Nothobranchius furzeri: one gene and its partner. The protein of the gene in region 1 purifies or fractionates together with the protein of each later gene. This does not show direct contact. Links are inferred from orthologs where the notes say so. Each region holds a gene or a part of one and is shown in the gene's direction. Other genes may lie near its edges. The genes, in order: hip1rb and picalmb.

Evidence for each region.
Region 2: the proteins of hip1rb (region 1) and picalmb fractionate together in Homo sapiens (co-fractionation; 3 studies listed by BioGRID and IntAct, with this or other methods). This does not show direct contact. The link is inferred for Nothobranchius furzeri from reciprocal best matches to the Homo sapiens genes HIP1R and PICALM.

The regions. Positions count from the first base shown.
Region 1 is NC_091757.1:46,637,909-46,649,008, reverse strand, and holds the end of hip1rb (huntingtin interacting protein 1 related b), read left to right. Parts: intron 1-68; coding exon 69-230; intron 231-308; coding exon 309-364; intron 365-439; coding exon 440-512; intron 513-796; coding exon 797-980; intron 981-1,066; coding exon 1,067-1,155; intron 1,156-1,238; coding exon 1,239-1,355; intron 1,356-1,429; coding exon 1,430-1,531; intron 1,532-1,684; coding exon 1,685-1,879; intron 1,880-3,222; coding exon 3,223-3,370; intron 3,371-3,516; coding exon 3,517-3,603; intron 3,604-3,707; coding exon 3,708-3,815; intron 3,816-3,989; coding exon 3,990-4,126; intron 4,127-4,741; coding exon 4,742-4,852; intron 4,853-4,957; coding exon 4,958-5,016; intron 5,017-5,116; coding exon 5,117-5,147; intron 5,148-5,250; coding exon 5,251-5,313; intron 5,314-5,427; coding exon 5,428-5,528; intron 5,529-5,630; coding exon 5,631-5,736; intron 5,737-9,347; coding exon 9,348-9,471; intron 9,472-9,561; coding exon 9,562-9,623; and 6 more. UniProt on the Homo sapiens protein: Component of clathrin-coated pits and vesicles, that may link the endocytic machinery to the actin cytoskeleton. Binds 3-phosphoinositides (via ENTH domain).
Region 2 is NC_091753.1:49,931,208-49,941,863, reverse strand, and holds the end of picalmb (phosphatidylinositol binding clathrin assembly protein b), read left to right. Parts: intron 1-870; coding exon 871-954; intron 955-2,416; coding exon 2,417-2,509; intron 2,510-2,658; coding exon 2,659-2,769; intron 2,770-3,826; coding exon 3,827-3,943; intron 3,944-4,060; coding exon 4,061-4,091; coding exon of another isoform or gene 4,092-4,095; intron 4,096-4,161; coding exon 4,162-4,261; intron 4,262-6,118; coding exon 6,119-6,178; intron 6,179-7,087; coding exon 7,088-7,192; intron 7,193-7,523; coding exon 7,524-7,616; 3' UTR 7,617-7,629; intron 7,630-8,574; coding exon of another isoform or gene 8,575-8,589; 3' UTR 8,590-8,796; downstream 8,797-10,656. UniProt on the Homo sapiens protein: Cytoplasmic adapter protein that plays a critical role in clathrin-mediated endocytosis which is important in processes such as internalization of cell receptors, synaptic transmission or removal of apoptotic cells.

The DNA.
Region 1 (11,100 bases):
AAAGTAATGTTCAGCTTTATTTTCCACCAGCTCTGAATGGTACTAATACCTTGTCCTTCTGCCATCAGTCTCCGCCTAACTTCCTGCACGCAGCCTCCCTGGCCAAACACGTCAAGCCGGTGGTGGTCATCCCTGATGATGACGAACCAGAACAAGATGAAGATGATGAACCAGAGCCGCTCGTTGAAGTCAGTCACACCTCAGCATCTAATGTTCAGACACAGCCACAGGTATGGGAACCCAGTCACAGATGTTTTCAACAGTTTTTTTTTCTTTAACCTTTTTTCTAATCTATTTTTCTTATTCAGCAAATGGACATATTCGATCAGACATTTGGACCTCCAAATGGCGGCTTTGATGAAAGGTGAGCCACATTTGTTTTCTTTCCCTCTGCATGGTTTGGCTTTTGAGTGTTGATGGTGGGTTTGCTGTCCAACAGGGATCTGCAGATCGAGTGCCTGAAGACGGAGCTTGAAATGTTGAGAGCGGACCTGGAGAGGATGAAATCAGAGGTAAGATTTGCTGAGTAGCCTGGTGCTTGAGAGTCAGCCTTCTTTTCCCTTGTTTGTGTGACAATAAAAGGCACAGTGATCTATGTGCACAGGAATCTGGGTCATGCTGCTTCTGAGCATGTAGAATGTACCAAGTAATCTCTAAAAGGAGTTACACAAGTCCTCTTGAGAAGTTTAGTTTGAATTGAAATGATTTAAATTTCATGACTATGTTTCTGCTACATAATAAAAAATTCCCACTTTAAGTCTTTACTGCGTCTAAATTGCATTTTGTGTTGCAAAAGGCTCAACGCTATGTCACGCAGCTCAAATCCCAAATCAACAGTTTGGAGGCCGAATTGGATGAGCAGCGCGTGCAGAAACAGCGTGCTCTTGTGGAAAACGAGCAGCTGCGCATGGAGCTGGACACAACGCACCTTCGAATTGCAGAACACGAGAGCTTACAGATCACCTTCATCGAGGCGGAGAGTAAGTTGTGCCTTGAAATCCCATTTTGACCAGAAATTGCTGTGATCACAAGCATGATTACACGTTTGTTATCTTCGTTTGTTCAGAAAAGGCTCAGGCCACCGAGCAGCGTTACAACAAGCTGAAAGAGAAGCACACCGAACTGGTGGCCAGCCACGCTGAGCTGCTCCGCAGGGTATAGGCTCCAGACCAGTTAAGGTGTATCTGCTTTCAATTACACGTCAGCACCTGGCCTGAAATGTGTTAATGTGCTAACAGAGTGCAGACACTGTGAAGATGCTGTCGGTAACCCAGCAGACCCAGGAGGAAGTGGAGAGGACCAAACACCAGCTGTCCTTTGAGGTGGAACGGATCAAACAGGAGTCAGAGATGAAGGTTGGTTTGGGTTTTTAGGGACTTTATGGATGTAGATGATGGAATTTTTTTAAAACTAAGTAATGTTTCTATAGTTAGAAGAGCAGAGGTTTGAGGTGGAGCGAGTGAGAAGAGAGCTGCAGGAGAAGATGGCAGAAGTGATGCATATCAAAGCAAATCTGCAAAGCAGTGAAAAGGTGAGCGTGCATCTGGGGTTGCTTCATTGATTTAGTAATCAGAGGTTTCATCGTCCCTGCTCAAGGCGAGAGCCGTTTCCGGATGGACATCTCCGTCTCAGCCATCTGCCCTTTCTGGCAACTCTCATTGCTCTTTTTCTTTTACTTTGACAGACGTCGGAGCAAATGAGCAGCTCAATGACAGCTCTGCAAGCGGAGAAGGAGCGTCTGATGCGATCTGTGAGTGAGAAGGAGGCGGAGCTGTCGTCTCTGCGGCAGGCGTCGCAGCTGCAGCAGTCGTCACTTCAGCAGGAGCGAGAGAGGAGCAGCAGGGAGCTGGGAGAGCTGCAGGGCAAGCTGAAGGAGAAGGTCAGTCAGGACGGTGGAGCCTGAACACTCTGCAGTGCAGACATTTGTCTTCTCGCAGCAGCATTTTTGATTGCTTTATTAAAAGCACATTGAATCATAAATTTTGGTTTTGAACAAGTTGTTTTTATGTTTAGATGTTTATTTTACGCAAAGATAAGTTAATTTTCCGACTAAGGATGAACAAAGGGATGCTTGATGGGTTTTTTAAAATACTAGTTCATTCAGCCATCTTATTCTGCCATGATAAAAGCTCTAAAGAGCTCTTCAGATCACAAAAACAGGCCTGTGAATGAAGTCTTTAACAGAAGGGTCAATAGCTGGAAAGGGGCCATATAGAAGTTGTCCACATGTAGCATCCATAACTGGCAACCGCTTAACTCATTCACTGCCATTGACAACTAAAGTCGTCATTTTAAACCCAACCGTTCACTGCCAATGACGATTAAAGTCGTCATATGCATTTTTTTTACTGTGTGGGCATCGGAACGAGCCCCCACACTGTGAGAAAAAACATCTTAGCTCTTCTTTAAAAAACTGTAAAAACAGTGAGGAACGCTGGCATCAAATGAGTTAAAAAGGATGAAGGAGACGGGCTGTAAAGCAGGATGTGGGTGAATTTGTATATCTGGACTTTTGTTGTTACAGCACAAGCTTAGAAATGAATCATAAACATATGAGTGACATCTTTTCATCTAACACGATCATGGGATGTTGCCGTATTAGACGGACTTTTACTTTGTATTTCAGACTGAAGAATTTCAAGTCCAATGCTTTTTTTCCTATGGGGTTTGAGCCGGTTAGGAAATGTCAGTGAAAATCTTCTGTTCCGTGTTATTCCCAAAACAGTCGTGTCCAAAACATCAGCTGACATTGTTCACTTTTTGTTTGTCAAACATTACCTGTTACAATAAAGTTGGAAATATGCAGAATTACTGTTGTGACAGTCCAGAGAAGAGTTACAGATTTTTTTTACTGTTCTGAACATATTATTTGTAATAATTAGAAAATTCTTGAAAAAATATTTGAAAGGCCTGCCAGCCTGCACAGTTAAACGTTTTTTGCAATTTTTTTCCTAACAAGGTTGCCACGGTAACTCGAAACACTTTGAAAAGCTATGTTTGGATGAGCACCCCAAAACCATATTGAGTCACCCCAAAATAGTTATTATTATACTCATTATCATTATTAATAGTAATAATCTAAAATGCTTTTAATGTGAGGATTGTGTATTCGTAGCTGGGTGGGTATCATTAAATGCTTGGATACATGCATATGCAGTCTAGCGTTGGAACAATTATGTAATCATGCCTGTTTATGTGTTCTGTTTTGTTTGTTTTAAACAGACGAGCCAAGAAGAGCAGATGAAGAAGAAGCTTCTGGAAGAGCAGTTTGCTTTGCTGCAGGGAGCCATAGCAGAAGCTGAAAACATCATCCAGGATGCTGCTGCCAAGCTGGATGATCCTCTCCACATACGCTGCACCAGCTCTCCGGGTCAGACCACCTCTGATGTTTCAAACTGAAATAAACCCATTACCAACAGATGAAATTAAAAAGAGAACACAAACTGATCTTTATTTCACATGGCTATGTGTTTGATTTAACTTTTTAATGTAACGCTCTGGCTCTCGTTCAAACAGATTACCTCATAAACCGGGCAGAGGCCACGCTGAGCTCCATCGACAAAGTGAAAAAGGGCCATGCAGATTATCTGCATAACATGTTTGGTGAGTTTCTCTAATTTCTAATTTAACTTGACCTCGAAACACTGTGTTCTAAATTCATCTGGTTTTCTAAAGATGCTTCTTTCTTCCTTTCTTCTTGTAACCAGATGCTGGAGGACTGCTGAGAGCTCTGACCCAGTTCTCTCACTTGGCTGCGGACACAATCGTTAACGGCAGCGCTACCGCACACATGGCACCCACTGATCACGCAGATAGTAAGAAGAATATCAATTTCCCTTTTATTACTTGTGCATTCTCCACGGCATTTATTAACAGAGAAAACAAATATTAGTTTACTAATAACACTCTCAGATCCATAGAAACAATTTTGGATACAAGGTTGTTTCTGAACAGAAAATGCAGAAGTGTGAGCATTTGATGCCCTACAGGACTGACGGAAAATTGCAGAAGCTGTGCCACACAGAGTCTTGATTACCTGAAGGATTTGAAGTCCAAGGACACCCTCCAGAAGGCAGATCCAGCTTCTGTTCGCATAATCGTACAGAAGATCCTGCATTTGGGTCAGGTGAGAGAAATCTGAACAGACCTGCAGGTTTTTGTGGTGCAGTGTGACATTTGAGTCTAATTTATAGAAGTTTGGTGGCAGAATGCATCACTGCTAAATGTTTCAGTCCGAGGAATCCTCAGGAATCTGCTGCAAAAAAGACCAACTGTGCGTTATATTTAACTCACCTTTTGAGAGTTTCTGCAACTTCTGGTTTGCTTTAAAAACACACTCCAGCAATCCAGCTGCTGTCCAGACAAAGAAACCCATCCATATCCCCATAAATCCACTCATCCATTATAATCATAAAAAAAATGAAGTGAAATAAAGGGAGAAAAGGAAAATGTAAAGAATGAAAACTATAAAACAGTATAAGTCTGTGCAAAGTTATGCATTTTAAAGGTTCTATGGGGGAAAATGAGCTTCAAAAATTGTGCAAAGATGCAAAAAATAGTGCAGGGTTGTGATAGAAACAATACAGCAAGAGCCACAATATTTGCTCCAATCAGCTGTTTAGGAGTCTGATAGCAGATGGCGCAGTTTACACATCTCACACTTCTTACCTCTGGCATTAACTGTGTATTTTAGGTAAACTAATCAAACAATGAAATGGAAAAATCAATTTGATTTCTCTAGGAGCTGCGGCCTAAAGGAATGGACATCCGTCAGGAGGAGCTGGGCGATCTAGTCGATAAGGAAATGGCAGCAACATCAGCAGCTATTGAAGAGGCAGTTCGTAGAATTGACGTGAGCACTCGATGACCTGACACTATACGACCCGTCTGATTAAATGGCCCATGTTTAGTGTATTATTTGTAGATAACTGAAATTTATTATGGTTTGAATCTTTAGGAAATGATGAATCAGGCACGAAAGGATACATCCGGAGTTAAACTGGAGGTCAATGAAAGGTTTGTGCTTTTTAAATTAATTCAAATATTGAGTCAAATATTCCAGATTTTTATAAATATTTAAATCCAAACCCCGTTGCTTCTTGCTCTTTTATTTCAGGATTCTTTTTAGCTGCACAGATCTGATGAAGGTAAAAAAAAACAGCCCCCCCCCCCCCCCTTGCAAACAATGTGGCATCTTTCAATGTGGGTGTTTTTCCTCACTCTGTTTTCTCATCATCGGCTCTCCTTCAGGCTATTCGCATGCTCATCATCGCATCCACGGACCTGCAGAAGGAGATTGTCGAGGGCGGGAGGGTGAGTCAGCGTGTTTCTAATTTTAAATCCAAAGTTAAGCATCAGTTTCTGAATAGGATGTTTGGTTCCTTTTAAAGGAGTTCATCTAACTGTGCTGATGTTTTGCTCTTTAAGGGTGCAGCCAGCATTAAGGAGTTTTACGCTCGAAACTCTCGTTGGACCGAGGGACTCATCTCTGCTGCCAAGGCTGTGGGATGGGGAGCCTCAGAGTTGGTGTAAGTTCCCGTTTGAAAATTTGCATGGCTGTTTATTGTTGCTGCTGCATTCACAGTTGACGGGAAGCATGCAGAGATTAATGTTTTCCTGCTTTCTTGCAGAGACTCTGCTGATAAGGTGGTGCTGCACATGGGTAAATATGAGGAGTTGATCGTCTGCTCTCATGAAATCGCTGCAAGCACGGCTCAGCTGGTGGCTGCCTCAAAGGTAACATGTGAATTATACCTGACAAAAAAAAGTGGTGTACAATCATGAAATGTGATGGATAACACTGTAGTTTATTAAATTGATAGAAAAATTCAAATATTTTTAAGGTGGAATTAATCCACTGTTTTAATGTTTTATCACTTGATTTAGCTACACATCAATTGATTAGAATAATTTAGCATTTTTTAGGGTCAGTTTCAGAAATCAGATAAAATTTGAATCCGAGATGAAGAAGCAACCAAAACCGATTTTATTCTCAGCTGATTGTTGCCTTGGTTCTTTCAGAGGGGATGGTTTGATCATAGTTCATGTTACTTTGACATAAACCTTCCATGCTTTAGTACGAACTTGAATATAAAATTTGTCAAACCAAGGTGAATCTTTTTTCTGTTAAAGTAACAGAACGGTTTCCTGCTTTTCTGCCCTACTGGTTGAAAGTGGAACTACAACTATTGTAAAACACCCTGCAGCAGCCTGCTGTAGCTAGTGCTAACAATGAGCTAACACTAACATTAGCCAACTAATACTAAAATAAACCACGATGTTAGAAGATCCACTTTGTTGGACAAAAAATATTATTCCTTACAAGTCCAGTAGCAACAAAGCTAGGTCACCATCAGTCCGTGATTTCATGGTCTCCTTCAGTTCCTTCAAACAAGTGTAGGCCACGCTGATGTTCACTCTGGTTTTAGCTCTTTGCTTCACCTCCTAAAGCCTGAGTCATGCTTCTGCGTCTGCATCAGTGCGGAGACACGCAACACCATTATCCGTCCTTGCGGGGCTTCTGGAGGATCCCCGAAAGGACGGACTGAGTCGAGCCCTCTTTTCTAAACATCCGTCCGTCGAGATGGAGAACGCAAGCTTGTGATTGGTCAGGGCACCGCTGTCATCTACACCGCCGCCATTGCGCCCTCAAAAACATAGAGAGCCGAGGATAACCAGCGGCAGACACGGAGAAGCTTGAGGAATTCCTCGCGAAAAAATTCTAAAAATACGAATGTTTGATTCCCCCGTGACTGGAGGAGTGAAAAGACGCGCAGCGAGCGTTTTATTTGTGGACAGAAATGACAGGAAACGTGGGTTTAGAGGTGGCGAGCGCATGAAGAGGTGGAGGAGAATGAGACAAATTTGTCTGTGTTAAAAAGTCTCTTATATACAAAAAACACAATATAAACACACTATCTTTGACCGGATACATGACAGTATACCCAGGGACGAAATTTTGATTTCAGAAGTGGGGGGGACACAGCAGGCTTGTGCGGATTTGGGGTGGGGGTGTTATGTAAAGACCCTTTGACACGTCACATGCCCATCTCAATAATTTTTCCATCCTCAATATATATATATATATATATATATCAAAGTTAAAAAATGTACAACTCTATTATCATTAATATTTATTATCATTATTGAAGTGCAGTTTTGGCTGTTGACAATGGATAGGCCATTGTATTTATTGTTTTGGGTCTTTTTTTATTGTTTTTGGTGCAACATTTTCTAACAGGGAGTGAGATTCTTTTTTTTATTTAATTTTTGTTTGTTATTTTTATTCATTTAGAAGTTCTGGTTCTGGACATTTCAATGTTAAATGAAGGTTTATTTGTTGCATTTTAAAGGGTGTACTTGCATTATTATGATATATTAACATTATATTAGTGGTTATTTTGGTCTAGATAATGTTGACAATGATATCGTTTATCATCAACAATTTGTTGGACAAAATATCATCCAGCAAAATGTGTTACTTTCCCAGGCCTAGTCAAAAGTATAAAAAGTATTTATACATAAACGGTCCCTCCTGAGATCTGGCCGTTTGTTCATTTGCTGTGTTAGAGGACATGCTGAACTAATGTTTTACACATGATCATCACCCTAACATTTGTCACAATGATCAATTTTATGTCTATCGTATCTTCATTATTTCAACCTCACCTGTGAGCCTCCAGCCTCTGCTCCATCTCCTCCAGGCTCTCGTCCTCCATCTCCTACAGCCTCTCCTGCTGTACCTTCACCGGTCTCTCCTCCTGCATCTCTGTCAGTCACCTGAAAAAAAGATGCATGAACTATAAACAGTGGGAGATTTTGGAATGGAACAAACAGAAATATTTACAGGATGGTTCTAGTATGATTCACAATTATTATTAATATAATGTGTAAATTATTCATTACCAATTTGAGTGTATAAAAACATATTAAATATGTTTTTTCCCTTAAAAGTGTTTAAACAGTTGTTGCATTTCAACACACAAAAAATAAATGGAAAAAATAAGATAAATCTAATGAAAAGAGTACATCTTTGACATTAAGCTTAAAAAAATCTGTTGACGATGATACTGTTCATTTTTCAGAGCTTTTTAATGTGAACATATACATTGCAATAGATAAGTTTACAATAAAGTTAAATGATAAAAGTTTTGAAGTTACACTTCTACTACTACTAGTAATAATAATCATGATAATAGTAATAATAATAATAAATAATAATAATTATAATAATACGAATAAATTGTGTCTGAGGAGTCAGTTATGTGGAGGAGATGAGTTTGTAAAAGTTAGTTTTGAGTATGTTTGTGAAGGAGGAGGTGAGTCTGAGCTTAATGCAGCGGTGTCACATGTTCCAACTTACGTTTTGACTTTGAAAGAAGTCTCTTATATCCACTTTTCGTTTGTTGACATGCTGCCTCCTGGCTGTGCCTAACTACCAAAGACTCACAAATGAACACTTATTCAAATGTTATGTAATGGAAGCTGAGCTGAGCTCTGATATTACACAGCGTCTAGTTGACGATGTGACTCAGTACCGGTGTTCCCTAGCGGCTCCAAACTAGCAAAACAACGTGAGCACGTTCTGACTGTTTACAACTTGAGTGACAGCAGCATCAGCCAATAATACGTTAGCAAGTATCAGCAGAGCCAATAGATTAGCTTTCGGTCCTAGTGCTCAATCAAATCCATTTAATGGAGCGTAATATTGTTTTTGGACGGAAAAAAGTGAAGGGGACCGAAACTGCCTTTTGAAAAAGTGGGGGGGACATGTCCCACCCGTCCCCCCCCAAAATTACGTCCCAGAGTATACCACAGAACAGTGCTACGCCCTCTGCTGTCCTGGCGGGGAATTGCTTTGCAACACTCCCCAGGAGACGGAGAAGTATGAGGACAAAATATCTCCGTCCGTGCGTGTGTGTCTCTCCCTTTTGGAGCTGACGGAGAAGCATGACTCAGGCTTAAGACATTAGTCTCTTACATTCACTTCCAGGCTCCGCCATTATGCCAACAGAAAAAGCAAAGTAGCTTATCTATTTTTTTTGTGCTTTTTATTGTCAATCGGCAAACTGAAATTGCTAACCATTCGCATTACAACCAACAGCCATAAAGCGGTTAAAGAACGCCCCCTGAGACACCTACCCACTCCACAGAACTATTAAGTGTGGGTTTTGGTCAGCAGAGGGCTGCAGAGTGGTGTCAAGAATATGAAACTGGTCAAGTTTCTAACTCAACAATCACTGAGATCAGTGTTAAAGCTCTAGCTTAAAGTTAAAAAATATATTACATTAACGTAAACCCAAAGCTTTTGACTAAACCGGCTTTAACCACTGCCCTTTTGCTCTCAGGTCAAAGCGGATCGCAATAGCACAAAGCTGACCGTTCTCCAGCAGGCCTCTCGCCTTGTCAACGAGATGGCAGCTAATGTGGTGGCTTCCACAAAGACGGGCCAGGAGAACCTGGATGACAAAGGTGAGTAGATTTATATTTGTGTTACAAGATGATCACAAACTCTGAAAAACCTCTAACCTGTCTGTTGATAACCTTTTTATAAATGAACAGAAACCATGGATTTCTCTGGGATGTCTCTAATTAAGTTGAAAAAAGAAGAGATGGAGTCACAAGTAAGTCAACGGATTCCGCAGTGATGAAAATCTTCTCACATTTAAATTTTGATTGTTATAGAACCAAAATAAATCCAACACATTTTCATTCAGTCGATGAGCTTTTTGTTTCCAAACCTTTCAGGTGAAGGTGCTAGAACTGGAAACTCAACTGGAGAACGAGCGCCTCCGTTTGGGTGAGCTGAGGAAGAAGCATTATGATTTGGCTGGAGTTCCTTCAGTGCAGGTTTCTGAGGGGAACGAGGAAACCTCCTCGCTATTCCGTTCTGCAACCATGTCACCCAAGCCTATCAAACCTGCTCCCATGAGGAAACCTCCACTGGCTCAAAAACCCGGCATCCCACCAAAGCGGTAGGTGGACCAGTGACTGATGCTTCAAAAGACTTTCTTTTTGTCATAAACACTGCAAATATTTATTGGGATTAAGCTAAAATTGTGCAAAATACTTATTTCGATGTGAATGAATTGTGTGATTTGAGTCAAAGCCAAACTTCTGCTGTTCTGATTTGTATTGGTAACTTTTATTTCATTCTTGTTGCAGTTGAAGTAAAAAAGGAGCAAAGGCCGAGAATATCCGACTACGAGATGCCTGGATTGCAAGTTTCTTGTAGTTGCATGTCGACAGTTTTGTGTTGTCAAATTTCTTATTGTTTTCGTAATTGGTCCTTTTTATTTTTGCCAAAATGGCTCAGAAGCCAGGTGTTGTTGTTTTTTTTTACCCTTTATGCCTACAGGGGTACATCTTTACCCCTTTGACTTTTTCTACATAACACATTATATACATATATTTAAATTTTAATATTTAACATTAAGAACACACTTTTTTCCATTTCAGACTAATTTTAAATTATTTTCTGCATTAAAGAACTACTACTAGTTTCTCTTTTTTAGAATACAAACTTTAACATTGACCAGAATCCAATAACCTATGTTGTACTTGGTGGTGAACAGCTAGATTTGATCATGTTTAATCCAGCCTTTTTGCACACCATTTTGAACGTTCATTGTTGAGCACATCACACTTTTTAATGAAAACTGCTGTATTGCTGTTTCATGATTTGAGGGTGGGAAAGGAAACTGGGGAATCACTTTGTGTGTCCGTGTTGCTGCAGAAGTTTGACATACCTCTAGCTTTGCCTTCATGTGCAAATAGCTTTCTTAAGATTGTCTTTGAGGCCTTGAAATATACTTTACAAATGCATTAAATAATACTTGTAAAGATATGCAGTCTGTATAAGAAGGTGCAATTAATTCTACATTTATCTCTTGAATGTCCCTTTACAAAACAATAGTTAATGCCTATATGTAGATGTAATGCTTGCAGACAAATTATATTGGATGTAGGTGTACTTATCAAATGCTTCTTTTTAGGCAAATATAAAAATGTTGGGTTAGTTAATATACAACATCAAGATGTCCATTGCCACTGGAAGCCTTTCTTACGGAGTCCTAAAATTTTTATGTTCTGTCCTTTCCT
Region 2 (10,656 bases), on another chromosome or scaffold:
TTGCAGATGTGGGGAAATGTCATCAGGCAGTAATCATTGTTAAATTCATAATTATTCTCGGAGAGACCAACTCTTATCTGCCCCTGGGAGCCCCGTAATGCATAGCGTCATTTCAACATGGCGGTGTCCGTGACACGGTTTATATGCAGGTAGCGGCGCTGCGGCTGCTTTATATAGCGACTCGTTGCATTCTCCCTCAACCCAAATCCTCGGATCAAGCATTTTAGCTAAAACGCTAATGTTAGCTTGCCTTGCGTTGACTGTAGAGTTGTGGGTGATGGTCACGCAGATGTGTCATGAGATTTGAAGCGTTGCTGCCTTTCACAGACACTTTTTCTGCACGTGCTGCAAACAGGATAGCCGTCTTCTATCAGCTGTCCCTCGACATTCTTCAAATATCTAAAAGATGCCCGTACTTCCCACTTTGTCTTCTTTGAGGGATAATAAATGTCCTCCTGAGCGCTGCCGTCTCCTCCTTTGACCATTATTTCATCTTTAGCTTCAAGAAAGTTTTGGTTGTAAACAAAGTGCACATGTGCCTTTGGCAACTTCAGCAGATGATACGGTGGCTGGTAAGGGTCACCGCGACTACACCACAGCCACGGTAATCCACCGAGATAATATAGTTTTTTAAAAACAAGATGGTTATTATTATTGTCAACTTTTTTACCAGGGTTTACCGCTACACCGGTTACCATGACAACCCTAATCCCGACTCATCTTTTGTATGAATTGGAGCGATCCATATCTTGCTGATTGAGTTTGCATCTACCGCTCTTCTTTTATTATTAAACAGTTTGGTGTTGCTTTGTAAAGATACCATAGAGCTTTAAGTTTGTGTCTGTTGTAACACTATTTTTGATTCTCCAGATTGTTACAATCCCTTTTTTGACTCAAACTCATCAGTTTCAGCCAATTACAAACGCACAGTGCGGATAGAATCGTCCGTCTCAGGTACTTTGTTGGATCACCACCTCAGCCTGTCTTTCCTAAAAACATCAAACCTACCATGATCCCCAATGCCATTATTTTTAAGTTTTATTGTAGAGTAAAAGTATTATAAAGGAAGAGTTTTGCACTTTTGGGAATAAAACAACCAATTTTCTCTGTAGAATACGGTTAAGTACTCGCATACCTCGTTTTCTGCTTCATTTGATCCACTTTGATTCTTTTATTTGAAAATGACTGGAGCCAAAATAAGGTTTTATTTGGGTAAAGCAAGAAAAAGGGTGATTTTTACAATATGCACTTCAAATGCTTTTGTAATAGGGATGTCCCGTCTGAAATAGGTCCAATATCGGCCAAAAAACACTCCGATTTTATCGGAATGCATCAAAAATCTCCGATATGAGTTGTCTATTCCGCTTTAAATGTAATTCTAGCAATTCTAACCAGCAGATGCAGCATGCAAAGCCTGCATGATCAGAACCGTGCACGCTAGCAAAGTAGCAAGGAACAAGAACGATGTTGGCCATATGGCAGTATTTCGGTATCGGAAGTGAAAAAGTTGTTTTGGGACATTCCTACTTTGTAATCCTGGGTAGTTTTGTTGGATGTTTGAAAACGGGATGCTCGATCCTCTTGAGTAAAAATACTAGAAATGCACAAATGTGTGATGAATTAGAGGACGTGTTGGGTCGTGTTTTCCCCCAAAAGTTTCAGAATTTAGAAAATGTCGGTTTTAGATCTTTTGTTTATGTAGATTTTAGAGCTGGGCAATACATCGAAAATGTATCGTTATCGGACTTATCGTGATGATTTTTCCCATTTCAATAAATTTGATAAAAAAATGAAAAGGTGTGTGTAGGTTGGCAATATTCATGTCCCTTTAAGAAGCTGTACCACCTCGAGTCACGTAAAATGTGACAGCCCCATCTAGTGGACAACTTTTGTTTCTGCACACACCTTTAGTTACCGTCAATTTATCGTTATCGAGGTGAAATCCTCAATATATCGTGATATTGATTTTCGGCCACATCGCCCAGCCCTAGTAGATTTGTTTCAATGCAGTTTATTTATACTTTTACATTTAAAGTGACACAAAATGTCTTGATGTATGTGAAGCCGTATTCACACCTCGTATAAAAAGAGCTAAAGACATGAAGTCCTAAGTCGTATCTAATGATCAGAAATAATCACTAAAAACAGAAATTCCCAAAATGTAAAACTGCACCTTTAACCCTTTCCCCCTTGGTCCATTATTATTATTATTATTATTATGATTATTATTATTATTATTATCATCATCGTTTGGTGTTTTGCTGTTCTGGTCATTTACCTAATCCCTAAACTAGACGGAGGTGTGGACCTGTTAGCATCTTCCTGTCTGCTGTCGTTTCTCACCTGTCTCTCTGACTTGACCTTGAAGCACCTTCTTCCTTTGTTTCCTCTTCTTTGTCTTCCTGCTTCGTGTCAGACTCCTTCTGTGGTCCAGTGTCGGTTGCTCAGCACCTCCCACACCAGGCCCCCTTCCCCGCTGAGCCCTCTGCTGTAGCAGGTCTGTTCAGAGGTAGTGTATAGAAGGCTCTTCGGCTCCCGCAGCAGCAGATAAACGCTCGTTTCAGCAACCCTGCTTCTCTGCTGTCTTGTGATTTTTATGTTTGGGAATCCAGTCCGAATGTAACTTTGTAACCGGAGCTTCTTGGTTTCATCCTGAAGGATACTCAACGCCACAGGCTCCTCCACAGCACTCAGCAGGAGGACTTCAAGTGGACTTTGAGTCTGTTTTTGGAAACAAAGCCGCCGGCAGCAGTAGCCTCAACTCTGATGGTGAGGATTCAAACACCCGAGGTTCTGTTTCTCTCCATCGGGTTTGAGCTGCAGCCGTAAGACTGTGAAGTGGAGGTTTTCTGATTGTTTAATAGTCTCAATAGAATAATCGCACAGCAAAGATAAAATTCCAGTTTTAACTTGGAATCGCTCAGATTGGTAGGTTTACAGGCGTTAGTCAGACGTTTTTATATCTGCTGTCTCACAAGAGACATAATTGGTCATTTTTATACTGTACTGTTGCAGCAATGCAAGTTTTTGTATTATTATTTTTTTTTTTTGCAGTTTAGTCACTTAATGTTTAACCTCAAGAGAACCAGCGCCCACAAACGCAGAAGCTTTATTTTTGCTTCATATAATCTCGCGTTCAGATTACCTTTGAGCTGTTTTCACCCAGCTTGTCCTGGGTTGATGCAGGAGACTCCTGCTGGCAGGACGAGCATGAGACACCTCCCCTGGGTGAGGTGCTCAGGCATCCAGGAGTAGATCTCCTGCTCCTGTTGAACTGGAGGAGCAGCTCTACCCTTCAATCCCTACCGGATGTCTGAGCTCCTCACCCTTTAAAGACTAAACCAGACGCCGTGCTCCGTAAACTCATTTTGGCTGCTTGGATTAGCGATCTCGTTCGTTTGGTCTTTACCCAAAGCTCACGACCGTAGATGAGGATTGGAGTTTCCGGATTAGCTTCCTCTTCAGTACAACCGCTGCTCCAGTCCACCTTTTGATCTCCTGCTTCCTCCCTCATTCCCAGAGATACGAAAGCCCTCCACGTAAGGGCCTCTCCCTCTCGAGTCCCCAGAATCAGGTGATTTAATCACCTGCTCACGTTCTGCAGAAGCCTGTTGATGACTTAACCGTTTAAATCGGCCACGTCGGGGCAGGGAACGAGAAGTCTGCCTTTGCTGCTCGTTTTCAGTTTTAAGACGAGTTGTTTTCTAAAGAGCAAACTATCGATTTACAAGAACTTAAAACACAAATATCCAATTATTTCTGACAGATTAAAGGCTCGCTACTTTAGATCGGAGTCTAATTGTTCTGATTTTAATTATTTTGTCAGATCTTGCTGGAGGCATCCTGAAACCGACTCTAGCTGGCTCCAACCAGCTGTCCAATCAGCAGCCTGAGAAGCTGGTGTCGGATGACCTCGACTCCTCTCTGGCCAACCTTGTTGGCAGTGAGTGTTTGTTTTATTATTATTATCTGAACTAATTAACACACACACACACTTACGTTAAGGCTAAAACACTTGTCAAGCTGACACCCTCTTGATGAATGTTTTTCTTCTGTTTAGACCTCGGCATCGGGAACGGCACCATGAAGAAGTAAGTGATGCTTCCTGGTGTGTTTGTGTCTCTCTGAGCCGCCGCTAACGCCAGCTGTGTTGATCCACAGTGACATCCACTGGAGCCAGCCGGGGGAGAAGAGGATGACTGGCGGCACCAACTGGCAGCCCAAGGCGGCGCCGACCACAACCTGGAACCCCGTCTCCATGGTGACTCTTACACACGCACGCACACACACACACACACACACACACACACACCACTGTTGTGCTCATCCTCTCAGCTGCTGCAGTTCTCCTGTTGTTCTCTGGTTTCAGTAATTCTGCATCAGAACCTCCGATCATCTCCTAAACATCTTACCGAGATTAATTTAGTATTAATTTATAAACCCTTGGGTTCGAGAAAACGTTTGAAGCTATTAAAATAGGAAATTTGGAAAAGAAATTAGGACAAGAAAAACTAAATTATTTACTTTGAAAAGAAATTAATAAATGGCAGAATTGAGAGTGTAAACAGTTTTAGGTTTGTGTAATATAATTAAAATAATATTAACAAGTAGGGCTGCACGATATTGGGAAAACCTGCGATATTCGATAACAGTGCTTAATATTGCGATATCGATATTACTCACGATAAATGAACAAATACTAAAGTATGCAGTGTTGATGTCGTCTGGCGTGTGACGTCTGCTCTGGGTTCAAAGCAAACAAAAACTAATGCATGAATTCCATTACAACATAACATTTTTATTGCAAAAATATGCAGCTGCACCTGCTACTGTATTAGCAGCAAAACAACAAACTGCATGCATGCAGTTTCTCAGTGAATTTAAAACATCACCTCCACCATAAAACCTTTTCTGATGCTCCAAATACAGAAAAACATCCCTTACCAGGGTTTTTGAATAAATAAAAAAAAAATCTGTAAATAAGTTTAAATGTTAAATAATAGTTAACATCACTTAGATGCAACAGCAAATTCTCTCATTGCTACTGAGCATTTTCTCCACTTATGTGGTTATGATATAAGGCTGTTGCTGTAATTGGGAAGTGAACTGTGCCGGGCCAAACTAGGAGAATATTAAGATTTTTTGAGGGAAAGAGAAAAACAATTGTCTACCTTTCAGAAGATTAACTGGCAAAAAACTACATGGAAAATATGTGAAAACGTTTGTCTTTAACCCCAAACTGAACAAGTTTACCTAGATCTTAGAAAGCAGCTCAGATGATGAAACTGCTACTATGATTCTGATAACAAGCTAACAAATTGAACTAGCTCCTCTAAAGATAACCGGCTAGCAGAGCTTCTGACTGACAGTTTATGTGCAGCAGCAAATCAACTATCCTGATTAACAAGGTTATAAAAGCTCATAAAGGAAAAATCACTTTGATGTGTGGGGGAACTTTTCCAGGCCCTCTTTAGCAGCTCAGGGTGGGACTGGGAGGAGAGTGCTGTAGCCTTTTAGCTGGAAGCTAACCGGAGTCTGGGGCTAACGGTGGGTTGGTTCACCGGCACGTGTCGGAGTCAGCCCGGTTATTATCAGCTGCTTAACGACACCGAGCGGACTCACGTTCACGTTTGAAAGCAGCGCTGATTCCAGAAACCTCAGCACAAAGTGCGTTCGTTTATCTGAGCCTGCATGACGAACGAGCTGCAGCGGAAAGCGGGGGTGGAGCGGAGATGGTGGAATTTTTGGGTAAGGGTCTACGTAGGGGGCGGGCGTATTACGTGAATGGACCCATCTGATTGGCCGCATATCAGAAGGACTACATTTGATTGGTCAAATAATACTTCTGTGTAAAAAACAGAGCTGGTTTACAAAAAGCTGATGTATGACAGGGATGGAAATGTTGAACCAAACATTTATCGCCGTTTTTGACGCGCTTTGCGATGGGCCTATCGCACGTCCCGTTATCGCCATGACGATAATTTTTCGATATATTGTGCAGCCCTATTAACAAGGAAGTTGGTCTTACAGCATTTAGATTTTCATATTATAGCAATTTATCAAATGTACAGTGATCCAACTTATAGCTTTTTCTATAAAACACGTTTTTATATTTCAGCCTCCATCAATCATGGCCTTTCCTGCCACCACACCTACAGGCATGATGGGATACAGCATGGTGAGTGTGAGTGTGGATGTGTTTGCACCCGTCAGGCGGACGCCTGTGAACACGGGGTATCCACTGGGTCTTAAAGTATTAGAAGTTGCCAAGTAGATTTAGGGAAAGTTGCGACTCTTTTAAAGTCTTATTAATGTAGTCGAGTCTTAAATTAGGTTGTTGCTGTGGATTTAAATGTGTTTGTGTCATACTCGCAAACTTTCAGTGAAAATCAGTTTTTGATGTTTATGTGGGTCGAAGAGGTTTTGTTTTGGGGGGGGGGGGGGGGGCCTTTATAAGAATGGGTTTTCAGAGAGAGGAGGGGCGTTCATCTTGTTCACAAACCATCTTTGTTGTAACAGGTTACGAGTCGTCTTTTGACCAATCGTAGTCATGGAGACGGCATGTGGAATGTCCTTAAGATGCAGCCGTAGCACGGCGCTAACAGCGCTTCAACATCTCGCAGCGGTTGGAGCGTGAAGTTAGTCAAAAACCAAACTGCTGTTTTCTGTCGGGGACTTTAGTGGGTTTCAGCCTTTACAGACGCTTGCTGTGGCTCGTCATGTGATTTTAATATAATCCGATTAAAGTTGCGTAACCTGACCAGGTTAAGTAACAGCAGGATCGTAGGATTTGTTTGAGCACACTGATGGTTCATAAACGATTTGGTGCTTTACCACCTAGTGGTCACTTAGCGTTACTCTCAGGGGGCACTGGGGGGGAGAACTACCACTTAATGAAACCCAAACCAAATTCTAGCCGTTTAATGGTTGAATAAAGACCGATTGGAGCCATTTATAAAATAAAAATATAGATTGGGGATTTTCAAAGGTAGAAATCATAAATGGAGCCAGAGTTTCTGTTTTGTAAACAGGAAGTCTTTAAATCAGATGCTGATGAGTGATGTGATGTGTGTGAAACACCCTGCAGCCTCCACAGATGGGCTCCATGGGGATGATGAATCCACCCACCATGATGTACTCCCAGCCCGCCATGAGGCCACCCAACCCCTTCGGCTCCGTGTCGAGTGCTCAGGTGGGTGCAGGCTGCAGCCGGGTGGCTTTTCCAGTAAAACGGTGTCTCCATTGTCCCGTGTGGTGTGCCCATAGCTAGTCGGTGTGCGCTCTGTCGTCGGTGTGAACACAGACGAAGATGATGACAGTTTTAACAACCAACCCTTCACTCTCTGGAGCTGAAAGCGACAAAACTGGATCATCATCTCTTGTTTTGTCTTTCCGAACGGCTCCTTTTTTTAATAATTAACTCATCTATCATACATCACAGCTTTTCCGAGCTAATCTCATCCCTCCTTCAGTCTCTGATCTGACTCTGACTTGTCCTCTGGTCCTCCCACTTCCTGTATTAGCCCTCTGCAGCCTCTAGTCCTTCCAGCCAGAGTCCTCTCCGAGCCCCTGGACAGGACCCGTTTGCACACCTCTCTCTCAAGGATTTCTTGTAGAGCATCTCTTTAGGTACATCATGCTCTTTGCTTGCAGATGCACCTGCATGTTACTTGTCCTGTGCAGATGTTGTTTTTAATATTTGTGTTTTCATCAGGTCAGATAGCTGCTTTAACCCGCCTTTTGTTGTCGTCTCTGCTGCTTGAACATCACGCTTGTTTTTGAGTGAAACCCATTCTCATTCACCATTCTTCCTCCTTTGTGACTCATTGCTGTTTGTCTGTTCGCCGAGCTTTGTTCCATCGGAGTTAATATTTAATCATAACTTCCAAATAATCGCTGCCAGTCTATTAAACTATTTATTCATAAAAACAAAATTCATTTCCCAAGTTTGCGACCAACTGCTCCAACATCCAGATAATCCCTGCAAGCTCTGAAGCACACGCTGGTTTTCATTTAAATCTAAATTATATTTGATTTTATTGAAAATCAATTTTTTATTGCAAACTTGATCTGAAAACTTAAAGCTCTTAAGAAAACTAATAACAAGTAAATGTGCAAATGTCTCTGAATGCCGAGAATTCGGCCACGAACGACACTTTGGTGTTTTGTCTAAATTCAACCTCGATTTGTTCGGTTCCTTTCAAGAAAATCAGATTTTTATCTCAGAAACATTTGATTCTATAGTTGAAGATGCTGACAATAAAAGTTCAAAATACTTTTTTTTTGTGAAATATTATAAAGTCGTATCTAAAGACGAGGAACGGCCCAAAAATGTAGTCCGGAAAATGATCAAATGTAATAAAATCTCTAGTAATAAAACGGTTTTATTTCACGAACATGTTTTTTTTTTTATTCTGCTGCTTCCATGTTTGCTCATAAAAGAGAATTTTTACCACCAGACCACCTCTGCACACCGTTTGTGTGAACACGCGTCCCGTTTCAGCCGTTAAAAGCAGAACAAACGTTTTGAATCGCCTCTTTCTGACATCGTTTGTTGCTTCTTTTCTCTTTCAGATGCAGTTCATGTAATTTGAATGAAGTGTCTCAGAAGATGAAGCACTTAGCAGCAAAACGTTGTCCCCGTTGCAGTCTAACTCTTCAGAGAAGCATCCACACACACACACACACACACCCTCAAATACAAGACACGCCAACAACACAATGGTGCACAGACTGTCCAAAACCATGGTAACCATGTCCAAATGACGTATTGGCGATAGCTCACACCCTTTTCTCTGTAATCGAAGCGAAGAGCGACGATGCTTCTGAACCCCTCCGCCCCTTCGGAAGGACCTCTGATCCGTTTTACGGTGTACTCTGTAACGATCGTTTGGGTGCTGAGAAATTTCAGTGTTGTGTATTTGAAGAAGCTGCGGTCTGATGTAAAAGGCTTCAGCGGGGAAGGAGGTGGAAGTAAAAGAAACAAACACCAAGAAGAGCGGTTCTTCTCTTTCTTGATCCGATCATGAGTCATCCAGAACCCTTGGGTTATTTAACGGTCACGGAGTAGTGATGCTAATGACGTTTACACCCCTTTAGTTTCTGTCTTTTTTACCGTGTTTACAGTAGACATTCCTAGTGTGTTTGTATTTATTTATGTTTATTGGTTAAGGTTTGTGTGTGTGTGGGGGGGGGGGGGGGATAATAATGTAAAATCTACCGTACGTTGAACACATGTGGGAGTGCTTCAGCATTAAAACAAGGATCCCAGACTATCATTAAGAGGTAGAGTTGAAAATAGATATATAAAAATTACACCTTATTAAGCGGAATGATAGAGCACTAAATATTCAGTTTTGTGTTTAAGAGAAGTTTTTACTAGATGAAAGGTTCCACCTTCTCCATCGTACTCGCAGTGCCGGGGTTAGAGTACGAGTTAACCGTATAAATAGTGTGCCTATAGAGTTTAACTTTGCGATGGATCTGAAAATCACTTCATCCACGAACCGGAAGCGACGCACTGGGTGGTGGGCTCCATTTGCTTTAAGCTTGGCATGCCATTGACTCACTGACTGTAATCAAGGCTGCCTTTACTCTGAATGTGAAAGAGTTGTCTTCATGTTGCACACATCTTTCCACGCTGCAGTTCCTCAGCCAGAGGAGTGAGGGTGTGAGGAGGCGGGCCGGTGGGGCGGTGCTTGCTGGTTAGTTTTGAGGCGGCAGGAAGACGTGATTGGGTGTAAATTAATGTATAAATAAAAGATGCAGAGGAGCGGGGCCCGAGCGGAGCCGCACTGTTGATCGGTGCGATTGTGTATATAAACACTGACTGTTCTTTGAGCGCAAAAGGTGAAAGATGTATGAAATATGAAAGCAATTCAATCAAATTTGACTCTACCTAAGTTTGATTCAGGATCTTCTCTGCGTTTGTCTCAGCAGATATTTTCTGTATGTAATTAGATAGTGTAGCAGACAACGACTGAAGTCTTTCTTTCTTTTTCAAATAAAGAGCAGCTTCCACAAACACTCGTTTGTTTTCTTCAAGCATTGTAATTTATATGTGGTTAATGTGTAAGATGGCAGCTCCAGGGGAAAATGCACTTCAGCTAAAGTGGGAAAGAAGTGTTGGAAAACAGCAGATTCCCTCGATCCTGTGCTCCCTCTGTAAAGGGGATGTGAGGATTTATGGCAACAAAAAAGGGTCAAATGTCCTGAGACATCCCACAAACTACACCAGTCATGTTGAATCTATAATACTAAATGTCTTACAGGTGTACCCGGCTCTGATTTGCATCTTTATTGGTTGATGTTTAGTAATCTTCTTGCTTTGGGTTCTCTCATTATTAAGGAAATTACCTGATCGCTGTTTGCTTTTACAAACTGAAAAACCACTGAAATGTGTTCCTCTTGAAGCTAAAACAACCCTAGGCCAGTGGTTCTCAATCCTGGTCCTGGAGGGCCAGTGTCCAGCATGTTTTAGTGGTTTCTCTGCTCCAACACACTTGATTCTGTGGTTAAATAACCCGTTGAGCAGCTCCTCAGGCTCTACCGAAGCCTGTTAATCACCTGCTGATTGAAATTAGTGTGTTGGAGCAGGAAAACAACTAAAACAGGCTGAATACCCGCCCTCCAGGAGTCAGGACCCCGCAATAAACA